2 linked regions of the Saccharomyces cerevisiae S288C genome follow. The main gene of each other region encodes a partner of the protein of the gene in region 2 in a complex. Each region holds a gene or a part of one and is shown on either strand. Other genes may lie near its edges. A codon is read from its position in the direction of its gene.

The links.
Region 1: the proteins of CDC7 (region 2) and DBF4 are in contact, whole or in part, in a cryo-EM structure (PDB 7PT6), measured with the Saccharomyces cerevisiae proteins. Residues at the interface, in NP_010267.3 of Saccharomyces cerevisiae: Glu32 (codon at 2,993), Thr43 (codon at 2,960), Phe44 (codon at 2,957), Lys56 (codon at 2,921), Val80 (codon at 2,849), Thr81 (codon at 2,846), Ser82 (codon at 2,843), Ser83 (codon at 2,840), Pro84 (codon at 2,837), Arg86 (codon at 2,831), Ile87 (codon at 2,828), Tyr88 (codon at 2,825), Leu91 (codon at 2,816), Asn92 (codon at 2,813), Tyr95 (codon at 2,804), Leu106 (codon at 2,771), Asp108 (codon at 2,765), Ala109 (codon at 2,762), Lys110 (codon at 2,759), Arg111 (codon at 2,756), Arg113 (codon at 2,750), Asp114 (codon at 2,747), Thr130 (codon at 2,699), Phe131 (codon at 2,696), Tyr132 (codon at 2,693), Arg133 (codon at 2,690), Asp134 (codon at 2,687), Leu135 (codon at 2,684), Pro136 (codon at 2,681), Lys138 (codon at 2,675); in NP_010337.3 of Saccharomyces cerevisiae: Asn240 (codon at 3,784), Tyr244 (codon at 3,772), Arg249 (codon at 3,757), Pro251 (codon at 3,751), Arg255 (codon at 3,739), Asp256 (codon at 3,736), Asp257 (codon at 3,733), Ile258 (codon at 3,730), His259 (codon at 3,727), Tyr260 (codon at 3,724), Phe261 (codon at 3,721), Pro264 (codon at 3,712), His265 (codon at 3,709), Val266 (codon at 3,706), Tyr267 (codon at 3,703), Leu268 (codon at 3,700), Tyr269 (codon at 3,697), Asp270 (codon at 3,694), Leu271 (codon at 3,691), Trp272 (codon at 3,688), Gln273 (codon at 3,685), Thr274 (codon at 3,682), Trp275 (codon at 3,679), Ala276 (codon at 3,676), Pro277 (codon at 3,673), Ile278 (codon at 3,670), Ile279 (codon at 3,667), Thr280 (codon at 3,664), Leu281 (codon at 3,661), Trp283 (codon at 3,655).

What each region holds. Positions count from the first base shown.
Region 1 is NC_001136.10:556,125-562,466, forward strand, and holds DBF4 (protein serine/threonine kinase activating protein DBF4), read right to left. Parts: upstream 4,502-6,342; coding exon 2,387-4,501; downstream 1-2,386. Other genes in the region: triose-phosphate isomerase TPI1, read right to left, coding at 1-348; acid phosphatase DET1, read right to left, coding at 932-1,936; SCF E2 ubiquitin-protein ligase catalytic subunit CDC34, read right to left, coding at 5,316-6,203. UniProt on the Saccharomyces cerevisiae protein: Regulatory subunit of the CDC7-DBF4 kinase, also called DBF4-dependent kinase (DDK), which is involved in cell cycle regulation of premitotic and premeiotic chromosome replication and in chromosome segregation.
Region 2 is NC_001136.10:422,565-427,294, reverse strand, and holds CDC7 (serine/threonine protein kinase CDC7), read right to left. Parts: upstream 3,087-4,730; coding exon 1,563-3,086; downstream 1-1,562. Other genes in the region: trans-2-enoyl-CoA reductase (NADPH) TSC13, read left to right, coding at 361-1,293; ERP3 (Erp3p), read left to right, coding at 3,785-4,462. UniProt on the Saccharomyces cerevisiae protein: Serine/threonine-protein kinase. Needed for the initiation of DNA synthesis during mitosis as well as for synaptonemal complex formation and commitment to recombination during meiosis. Required for HTA1-HTB1 locus transcription repression.

The sequences.
Region 1 (6,342 bases), 140 kb from region 2:
AGCGAACTTGGTCTTGTCAGCAATGAACTTGTCATCTTCGTGGAAGTAAGATCTTCTTTCGGAGTGACCCAAAATAACCCACTTAGCACCAACATCCTTGATTTGGTCAACGGAGTTTTCACCGGTGAAAGCACCAGAAGCCTTCAAGTAGGCGTTTTGAGCACCGACAGTGACTTGTGGCTTCTTAACCAAAGAGACAGAGTAGTCTAAGTAGGTAGCTGGAGGACAGATAACAACTTCGACATTTTCTGGGATAGAAGCAGTGTTCAATCTTTCAACAATTTCCTTAATGGATTGTTTGGAACCGTTTAATTTAAAGTTACCACCGACAAAGAAAGTTCTAGCCATTTTTAGTTTATGTATGTGTTTTTTGTAGTTATAGATTTAAGCAAGAAAAGAATACAAACAAAAAATTGAAAAAGATTGATTTAGAATTAAAAAGAAAAATATTTACGTAAGAAGGGAAAATAGTAAATGTTGCAAGTTCACTAAACTCCTAAATTATGCTGCCCTTTATATTCCCTGTTACAGCAGCCGAGCCAAAGGTATATAGGCTCCTTTGCATTAGCATGCGTAACAAACCACCTGTCAGTTTCAACCGAGGTGGTATCCGAGAGAATTGTGTGATTGCTTTAATTAATTTCGGAGAATCTCACATGCCACTGAAGATTAAAAACTGGATGCCAGAAAAGGGGTGTCCAGGTGTAACATCAATAGAGGAAGCTGAAAAGTCTTAGAACGGGTAATCTTCCACCAACCTGATGGGTTCCTAGATATAATCTCGAAGGGAATAAGTAGGGTGATACCGCAGAAGTGTCTGAATGTATTAAGGTCCTCACAGTTTAAATCCCGCTCACACTAACGTAGGATTATTATAACTCAAAAAAATGGCATTATTCTAAGTAAGTTAAATATCCGTAATCTTTAAACACTATGTAGTTAGGTCTCCCTCACAATCAGTCCATTTGGGTAGCACGGTCCTCAGGACGTATCTATTGATGGATTCGTCCAGTTCCATCACCATTACGCTCCCGTTAGGAACATTGGTAAACGATTCAAACTCTTCGTATGTCCATCTAAACCATTTCATCAGGAATACTCTGGAATAAATACCATGTGTAACTAGGACAACAACATCTCTGGGTCTTCTCTCTTGCCTATCATGGAAGTGCCTGAATAAAGTCTCTTGGAAACTGGCGACTCTGTCATATACATCTGCCGCACTTTCTCCATGAGGGAATCTGAAGAAGAAATGACCATACGTAGATCTCTTCTTCATAACGTCCTGCATGCTATTGATTTTTTGGAAATTACCAAAATCTTGTTCCCTTATTCTTGGCTCATCCTTAACCCGATATTGCAGATAACATTTTCCAGGCTTCCCTTCACAAATATTATCTTCATTATTTTCGTAAACACCACCAGTATTATTAAGTCCTCTCGGCCAAAATGCATGTTTCTGTTTACCATGTGGATCATATCTCATATCTTCACATATACGAACACCACTGTTTAATTCATTATATTCATCGATGACGTCCAAAATACCTTTCAATGTTTCCCTTGCTCTTCTATAGGGTGATGTATAAAAAACTATGTTTGTGTCTTTTTCTCTACTCAGCCTGGTATAGTCCTTCAGCGGTAAAGTTCTCCTGCTACTTTCATCTTTAATATACTTCTTAGCCAAATCCTCCACCAAGTTGTGATCGTCTACGTTTAAAACACGTAATAAGTCAATACCAGCTTGTCTAGCTTGGATTTGACCTGTTTTCGTTAAAGAAATCAGATGGTTAGGAATATAACCATTGACCTCCTTGTTTTTATTTGATTCGCTTTCCCCATGCCTTATTAGTACAATTAACCTAGGTCTGGCATTCGTAAAAGAACCGTGACTGCCAGCAACATCTTCACTAACATGAACATTCTCTTCACACATTTCTTTTACTAATACTCTGAGTTATTCAAATGGAATGCTGTAGCGTAAGTTCTTTTATGTTGAACCATGAATACGAGCTGCAATTAATGCAGTTGAGAACTAGCTTTTTTTTTTTCATGCCTCTCGGTCTCTGCAGGATATCGGGTAAAAATGAAAACTGGGACATTAACCGCGGTGGGTACTCGATCATTATTTGTTCAGAATGAGTTATGATATGAACGGTAATTAATCTAGATGATAATATATATATGTATATGTATATATATGCAATTGATAATATATGGACGAGTAAATAAGAGTTAAGTCAATAGCAAGAAAGTAACAAGGGTGAATGAGAAAGTGATTCAATAACATTGCCGTTGATAGCTTTTTTGTTCCGAGCAGCAATGGAAACGGAACAATACTATTTTGATTTTATCACTAAAAGCTACTGCACTTTACGTCGTGTCCCTATATTTGAAATCTGAGATTTTCAATTAACGAGTCAATAGCCTCAAAATTTAAATCGTTTTCAGCGAAAGACAAATGCTTCTCAGAAACTATGTGTTGTTCTAAAGATTCGTATTTTACACGACAATTTTCACAGTATCCGGAATTTTTTACCGTTTCTTTCTTCACCGGCTGTGCTGTCTGTGCTGTCTGTGCGTTAAAATGTAAGGTGACGTTTGTGGAAGTTGATTTCTTCGATGCTGTTGGAGATTCTGTGGTTGTTATCTTGATGTCATTATGAACTTTGGAGTCTGCGGAGACTGATTTGGTAGCTACCTTAGGGAAATTCTGGGGCTTTCTATTAGTTTCTAAGTGTACAGCACTATCTTTGCCCGTCTCTTTCGAAGGGGCTTCGTCTTTTTTCAAAGCATTAAAATCTAATCTGTGTCTATTTTCCTTTGATGTTTCAGCAGTAGTTGCTATAGTGGCTGTATAATTTTTGTTATTTCCATTTGTCTGCTTTACTCCCAGCTTTCTATCAACCATTAGTCTACTTAATGACTTCATGTTCTTACTCATGACGCTTGCTCTTGTTGGGCCCAAACCATTGCCAAAAGAGGTTGCCACATCATTAGATTGATGTGCACCACTTGCTTTGATTTCAAATGCCTGACGTGACTTTGTTTTCAAAGTGCACAAATCATCCGGCACTTCTTCAGTTTCTTGCCTTGCAAAAGTAGCTAATACTGGATGGTTTAGTTTTGGTGTGGCAGCCAGCTCTTTTCGCTGTGGGTACTTATTCGATTCTTCTGCTATAGATTGTTTATTTTCTTTTTCTTCTTTCAACGGAGGCTCTTTGGTTTCAGTTTCATTTAATAATATACTATTTTTTTCATCGGTTTGGTCAGCATGTTCATTACGAACATCTTGAACTGCGCTATCATCCGTCTTCTTTAACTCGGTCTTCTCAAAATTTTTTGCCTTTTCTTGCATCCATTTTTTGAAGCTCTTGGTAGAATCGTTGCATGTGTGAGGTATGAATATTAGGTTTTTCGTTTGATCATTAACTGATGACGTATTCAGTAAGGTGTCGGCATGATATTGAAATAGAGCACGAAGTTGCAGTGCATATTTTTTGTTTGCTTTGTCTCTCGAGTATCTCTTTACTACGCGCTTATAAGAACTTTCGTCATAATTCCTATCCCCTATAAAAGGGCATCTTCCGAATGAACCTATTTTCAATATTGGGTAAGGTAGTTCGTCTAAGTTTGTTAGTTCTTGAGGTTTCCATTCCAAAGTTATTATGGGGGCCCAAGTTTGCCATAGGTCATAAAGGTATACATGAGGATATTTAAAGTAGTGAATATCGTCTCTTTTAGTTCTGGGGTCTCTATCCGTTGGTCCATATAATTTTTCATTGTGTAGAAGATTGGACAATGTGGGCGCAGCTAAAGAAGCAGATTTAGTCTTGCTCAAATGATCCAAATCAACATCAAGATTTTTCAGAAATCTGGCAGCCTTTTCGTAACTCCAAACTTTCATGTAGTTTTTTTTAGCTCTCGATAAAATGTCGGTATCTTTTAGTAAATATATGTTCTCAACAGACCTTCTTGTGATAACTATTGTGACAGTAGTGTCAAAAAATTGAGTTATTTGCGCACCCAATGTAAGAAACCCTCTTTTCAATAAATCTCTGCGTTTGTCCATCTTGGACTTATTATATGTATTCATCTCTACATCATCAGTAATGTCAAAGTAAATGCGAGAATCTCTTTTCATTATCTTTTTCCAATTTGTTTGCCATTCCAGCAATTCCTTAGGCGTAACCCTTGGCTCGACATTTTTCAGACCCGTACCTTTGCTGACTTGGACAGCGCCTTCAATAGACCTGGCCCTTTCTATTCTGGCCCTTTTCTTTTCATGCAAATGCTGCTGCTGTTGGAGCTCGAGGCGCTCAAGAGATCTTTTCTTCGGAAAGGATTCAGTGGTATTGTTATTGTTGCAATTATTGTCGTTAGAAAACACATTCAAGTGGCCCGCTGCTGTTGTTGATGCGGCAATTCCATTATTATGTTTCAAGTTGGTATCTGTTTCCTTTAACGGAGACCTTATTATCATTTTCGTTGGAGAAACCATTTTCTTCTTTCTTTTCTAAATATGAACCAAAAGCAGAATTCCAAATGCCTTTCAGATTCAAACCTTGAATTCTGAAGATAACTAGCCCTGCAAGCGAATTCAGATCTAAAGGAATCTACACCTGGCTGAGTATAGACTATGCAACTTGATTTTTGTTTTTCTTGGCCTGAGCCATTACCGTTATTATTATCGTTATTTCTTTATTTTTTTCTTTTTCGCAAAGATCGACCTAAGACGCGTTTGCAAAAAAAAAACCATTTACTTACTGCGGGTAAAATATTAAAAGAAACTTAGGCGTTAGCCAAGAACCGATAAGAAAATAAAAATAAAAAAGGTAATGAGGAATTAGATGCAAAGAGATATAGATATAAACACACACACACAAATATATATTTATATACATATGTATGGTGATATATATTCAAAAAAAAAAAGTACAGTAACTTAGAAACTATTAGTGGGACGGATTTGGTTTTCTTATTTCTTTCTTTTTAAAAAACTTTCTTAATATACACGTTTGTGGTTATAAGGTGGTGTAAAGTAATGTAATGATATACACTTTTTTTCTCAATTCTTTACCTTCTTCTTTCGTACGGTGTACTGCGAGAAGTAAAATGGGATGATGAATTAATTTTTCTAAATTTTTCTTCGACACTTAGTTATTTTCTTCTTCCCCTGTCAATCTCAGATTATCATAGGGAAAAATGTAAAGTGCTTTATCGACAACGTATCGCGTATGTATAAATTGATTCATGTTTTGCGTTTGAGCTGAATATGTTTTGTTAAATTTTGTCTTCTTTCTTACTGTTCTTTTTTATATTTTCTTTGAAACTCTTTCTACATCCTCCACATCTTCACTTTCATCTTCAGCCTTGTGGGGTTGTTTCCTATCCATGACGCTGTCGTTATCTATACTATCGTCGTCATCATCGTCATCATCTTCGAATTCGATTCTTTCGTCATCGTCGTCGTTGTCGTTATAGTTGTAAACGTCATCATCTTCAAAGGGGATATGGTTGTTTCCATCGTCGTAGTCGTCGTCTTGTAAAATGACGGACCCGTTCTCATCGTCGTCCAAATCACTATCATACCAAAAATTATCCGCCATATCCTTATTCGATTCTGGTTCATCTAGTTTACTTTGAGATATGTACGCCGATTCAGAAGTGGGCATTATGAAACCTTTAGGGATATCTTGTTTCGATCTTTCCACTTCCATTTTGACTCTTTGCTTGTATTGTTCAGGGTTCTTTCTGTAATCAACAGCGGCATCGACATTTGCTGGCGAGTTGATATTGGGGTCCTCTAATAGAGATACTATAGAGATCAACACACTTTCCACGGTCTGCACGGGGGACCACGTTTCAGCATCAGGTTCGTCGGTCATAGGATCCCCACTTTGATGTAAAATAGAAATACAAAGCCTGCCATCCCTGTAAACGTTTGGATGGTAGATAGCCGGCGTAAATCGAAACTGTGGTGGAGAAAAGGGAAAGTCTTCCGGAAATCTCATTTGAGCTTTGAAAAACCCTCCATGATAAATGGAATCCTCATTTAGCACCATAACACCTATGTTCCAAGTGAAAATATTTGAATCATCCTCTAGTTCTATATGAAATGAGGGAATAGCTTTCTTAGGATCAGTAAGTTCTCTATATTGCCGTAACAGTAAGCTAGAAGCGGTGCTTTTGCGACTACTCATATTTACGTTGTATTGTTCTTTTTTCCTTGTTTGGTGTACTAAAAAATAACAGTCGCTATAAGTCCTAAACAGTAAAGGACAAAGATGTCAGCGGCAGAGAGTATAAAGGAGTACTATTCGACTGAAATAACAAACGCAA
Region 2 (4,730 bases):
GATGAATGATATCTAATTGTTTCTCGAAGAATAACTTATATAACAGTAGTATACCGATGTAAGGAAAACTTCTTGGCTATGTAAAACTTTTTGAAAGTTAGAGGAAGAAAGTATTATACATTCAAGAGAGATGAGCTTTCCAATTTGAAAAATTTTTCAAGAAAAAGAAAAAATTTGAAAAAAAAAAAAGAAAAATATAATAAACATATCATTTTGTACGCAAAAAGTTAAGGAATTATGAAAAGGGACTAAGAGCGTGAATTTTACAGAACGGAGGACAGTAAGATTATATTCTATTTAGCTATCTAGAAACCAATTGAGCTATTTGAGAGAGATACATATTTTGAATTTAATTTGAAAATGCCTATCACCATAAAAAGCCGCTCTAAAGGGTTAAGGGACACTGAAATTGACTTATCCAAAAAGCCTACTTTAGATGATGTTTTGAAAAAAATCTCTGCTAATAACCACAATATCAGCAAGTACAGGATAAGATTAACCTACAAAAAGGAATCTAAACAAGTTCCGGTTATTTCAGAATCGTTTTTTCAAGAAGAGGCTGATGACTCAATGGAATTCTTCATCAAAGATTTGGGTCCCCAAATTTCATGGAGATTAGTCTTCTTTTGTGAGTATTTGGGTCCAGTCTTGGTTCACTCCCTTTTTTATTATCTATCTACCATTCCCACAGTTGTTGATAGATGGCACAGTGCTAGCTCCGACTATAATCCATTTTTAAACAGGGTTGCATATTTTTTAATTTTAGGACATTATGGAAAGAGATTATTTGAAACCTTATTTGTTCACCAATTCTCTTTAGCTACTATGCCAATTTTCAACCTGTTCAAAAATTGTTTCCATTACTGGGTTCTAAGCGGTCTCATTTCATTCGGTTACTTTGGCTACGGCTTCCCCTTTGGGAATGCTAAGTTATTCAAATACTATTCATATTTGAAATTGGATGACTTGAGTACATTAATTGGTCTTTTCGTGCTTTCAGAACTATGGAACTTTTATTGCCACATTAAATTGCGCCTATGGGGTGACTATCAAAAGAAGCATGGTAACGCTAAGATCCGTGTCCCATTGAATCAAGGTATTTTCAATCTTTTTGTTGCTCCCAACTATACTTTTGAAGTTTGGTCTTGGATTTGGTTTACTTTTGTGTTCAAGTTCAATTTATTTGCCGTTTTATTTTTGACTGTTTCAACAGCTCAAATGTACGCATGGGCTCAAAAGAAAAACAAAAAGTATCATACCAGAAGAGCATTCTTGATTCCATTTGTATTTTGATCCTCCTGTTTGCAACATGCCCAAATGCAAGGTAAAGAGATATTAGCTTTCACGAAGTGGCGTAGTAGCACTATTGTTTAAGTATCGTCTGCACCTGTGCCTTTTGGTATTTGGCACTATCTTAAGCGCATGCCACCAATTATGCTAAACCGTTTCACTTTAAGAAATTTTTATTTAAATCTTTCACTATGCAAATATGTAAGTACTTTTAAAATTCTCTTTCCAAAGAAAAGGAAATTATTTCAGACTAGCAGTAATTTATCACTTTGCTATTCAGATATTAGGAGAACATCCTTATCGAGCAAATCTGCCTCGCTTGAGCTGACAACGTCATCTTCGTCAGTACTCTCGCCATCCAGTAAATATGTGTTTTCATTCAATTCATTGAAAAACGGGGTTTTCAGTAAATCTTCTGCTGAACTACGCTTTTGAGGATCCATTTCGAAGCATTGTTCCAAAACCTGGAAGCACCAATAATGATCGGACCAAATTTCTTCTTGATACTTTTTCAACTCATAGGCATCAACAGCATCCATATTTGTCTTGGGGTCAGGTAATTGAGGTTCAATGGACATCCTGTCATGTAATTCTTGTTGTAGAAATCCGAATGTTTCAAAAGCAACACTGTACTCAGGGAACGTACCTATGGTACATTCTTTATTAAGCAAATCATAAACAAATTCCTTCAATCCATTAGAATATCCGTTTGGTTTATCCCAAATGAGCCCACTAGCTTCGAAACCCAATCCATGCAACGCTGCGCATTTTCTTAATTCTTTCCAACCAAAAATAGTACATAACTCTAGCAAAGAATCCGCATCATCTAAACTTTGGAACATTGGAAATCTTCTGCCCAAAAGACTTAAAAGAATAACACCTACGGACCATATATCAATCTTTGTGCTTTGAGCCCCACACTTCATTAACACTTCTGGTGCCCGAAATCCACGAGTCCCTGCTCTATTAGCCCTTTTAATTCTACGCGTTTCATTTTTAGGATAACCCTTTGTCAGATCCACCCCATTTACATTGTTTAAGTGGACGACCTTGCCATTTTGTATGGTGACCATAGGAGGTGTTTGGTTATGTGAGTTAGGAGAATATTGATTACGCATAATGCATGGACAAAATTGTTCGTGATTCCTCATTGAATATCCACCATCATGGTTTGTATTTGCATAATTGTCGTAATCGTTTTGACTAGATATCATGCTTTTATAATCCATTTGAGCCTCGGCTAGACCAAAATCAACAAGCACTCCACGCCCCAATTCCAAATTAAATAAAAAATTTGTCGGTTTGATGTCTCTATGAATAATTCCCTTCGAATGAACAAACTTCAATGCTCTTAGTAGCTCCCAAATGTACTTCTTGATTCCCTTGATTGGTAGATCCCTGTAGAAAGTTCGGAACTCCTCGTGGGGATAGTACGGTAAAACAGCAATGACTTGATCTCGCACCCTTTTTGCATCACATAGAGGGGCTACTCTCGAAGATCCCGTCATTATGTACAGCAGGTTGAGCTCATTATAAATTCTTTGCGGTGACGAGGTAACGTATATTTTCTTCAAAGCAACATAGTTCGAACCATAATTCCAAAAATGTGATGCAAATTTTTTTGTTATTTTCCCAGTGATATCTTTGGCTTTATACACTGACGAAAATGTTCCCTCACCGATCTTGTCTATGAGTTTATATTCATTTTCTATACCCGGTAGATCATGATAGAGCTGTATCATCTCTTCTTTGATTTCTGGAGGTATATCATCGATATTCTTCGTTTTGCTTGTCATTATGATTGTTCTACTTCGAAACTGCCTCTTTCCTAAGAAAATTAGATAATAGCACAATTGTTATTGAAAATTTAAGGTAGTCTGTTACTTCCCGTTACGCCTGCTGAGCGGTTTTTTTTGTTAATGGTTCTTGCATTGATTTTAGGCGGAAATGTGAAGTGCTCTTCTACTCACTAAATTGATGCCGTTCAAGAAGACGCCCCAGGGCAAAGAAGACATAATTTAAAAGCTGACCGGGGACAAATGTTTAAGATTTATGTAGGCCTAAGGCGTTTATCGAGCTAAACGGGAAGTAATTTTACTCTATAAAATGTCATCTACACAAGCATTGCCCCATTAGATTCTTAATTATCTTCAAAACCAGGGCTACACCTTAATTTCCCAAGCTAAAAACATGCTTATATAGAGGTTTAAAAAAAAAGCGTCGTTCGTTGATAAAGTTTACGAACGTATCAGTATGATCGCGTAGGTTTCCACATACTACTTAGACTTCCTACACTGTCATGGTCATTATGTCAACAAAGGTGAGACCAACGCGTCCTGACCTGAATTTTTCTCTCTTTAAAACAGAACGCGTTCTTCATAATCCTCTCCTCAATGAAAGAATTTGGGGGGACAATATCTTGACAGAAACTGGTAAGGCTCTTGATAGTTACCGTACTTGAAGGGACACTGTGAACTGACTAAAAAACTCCGTCATGTCCAATTTATGTGTACTTTTCTTCCAGTTTTTTTTTTTAGCACAATTTTTTGCTGAGGCATCACCGTTGACATTTGAACTGAATAAAGGTCGAAAGGAGTGCTTATATACGCTAACTCCGGAAATTGACTGTACAATCTCATATTATTTTGCAGTACAGCAAGGAGAGAGCAATGACTTTGATGTTAACTACGAAATATTTGCTCCTGATGACAAAAACAAGCCAATAATCGAGAGATCTGGTGAACGTCAAGGTGAATGGTCATTTATAGGCCAACATAAGGGAGAATATGCTATCTGCTTTTATGGTGGTAAAGCACACGACAAGATTGTTGATCTGGACTTCAAGTACAATTGTGAACGCCAAGATGATATTCGAAATGAAAGACGCAAGGCGAGAAAGGCGCAGAGAAACCTGAGAGACTCTAAAACCGATCCCTTGCAAGACAGTGTGGAAAATTCTATAGACACCATAGAAAGGCAGCTCCACGTTTTGGAACGTAATATACAGTACTATAAAAGCAGAAACACCAGAAATCATCACACCGTTTGTTCAACAGAGCATAGAATTGTAATGTTTTCTATTTACGGCATATTATTAATCATCGGAATGAGCTGCGCTCAAATTGCCATACTGGAGTTCATTTTCAGAGAATCGAGAAAGCATAATGTGTAAATAGTTGTGTATTGTTCCTGCATTTTCTATCAACTTGAGAATATATGTTCTTCATATTTAATAGGGGAAAGGAATGACATACCGTATCCAAAATAGCCCTTTTGCTCATGTTAAATCTTATGTAATGACAGAGCTGAAGTGACGTTTCTATTAAAGCACATGTCACGATTTAAAAAATCCTATTTCAAAATGTAGCATTGTTTTCTTCGAGAAATTGACAAAATAATCTTTGTAAGAGTAATTTTTTCTTAGCCATTGGCATATGCAC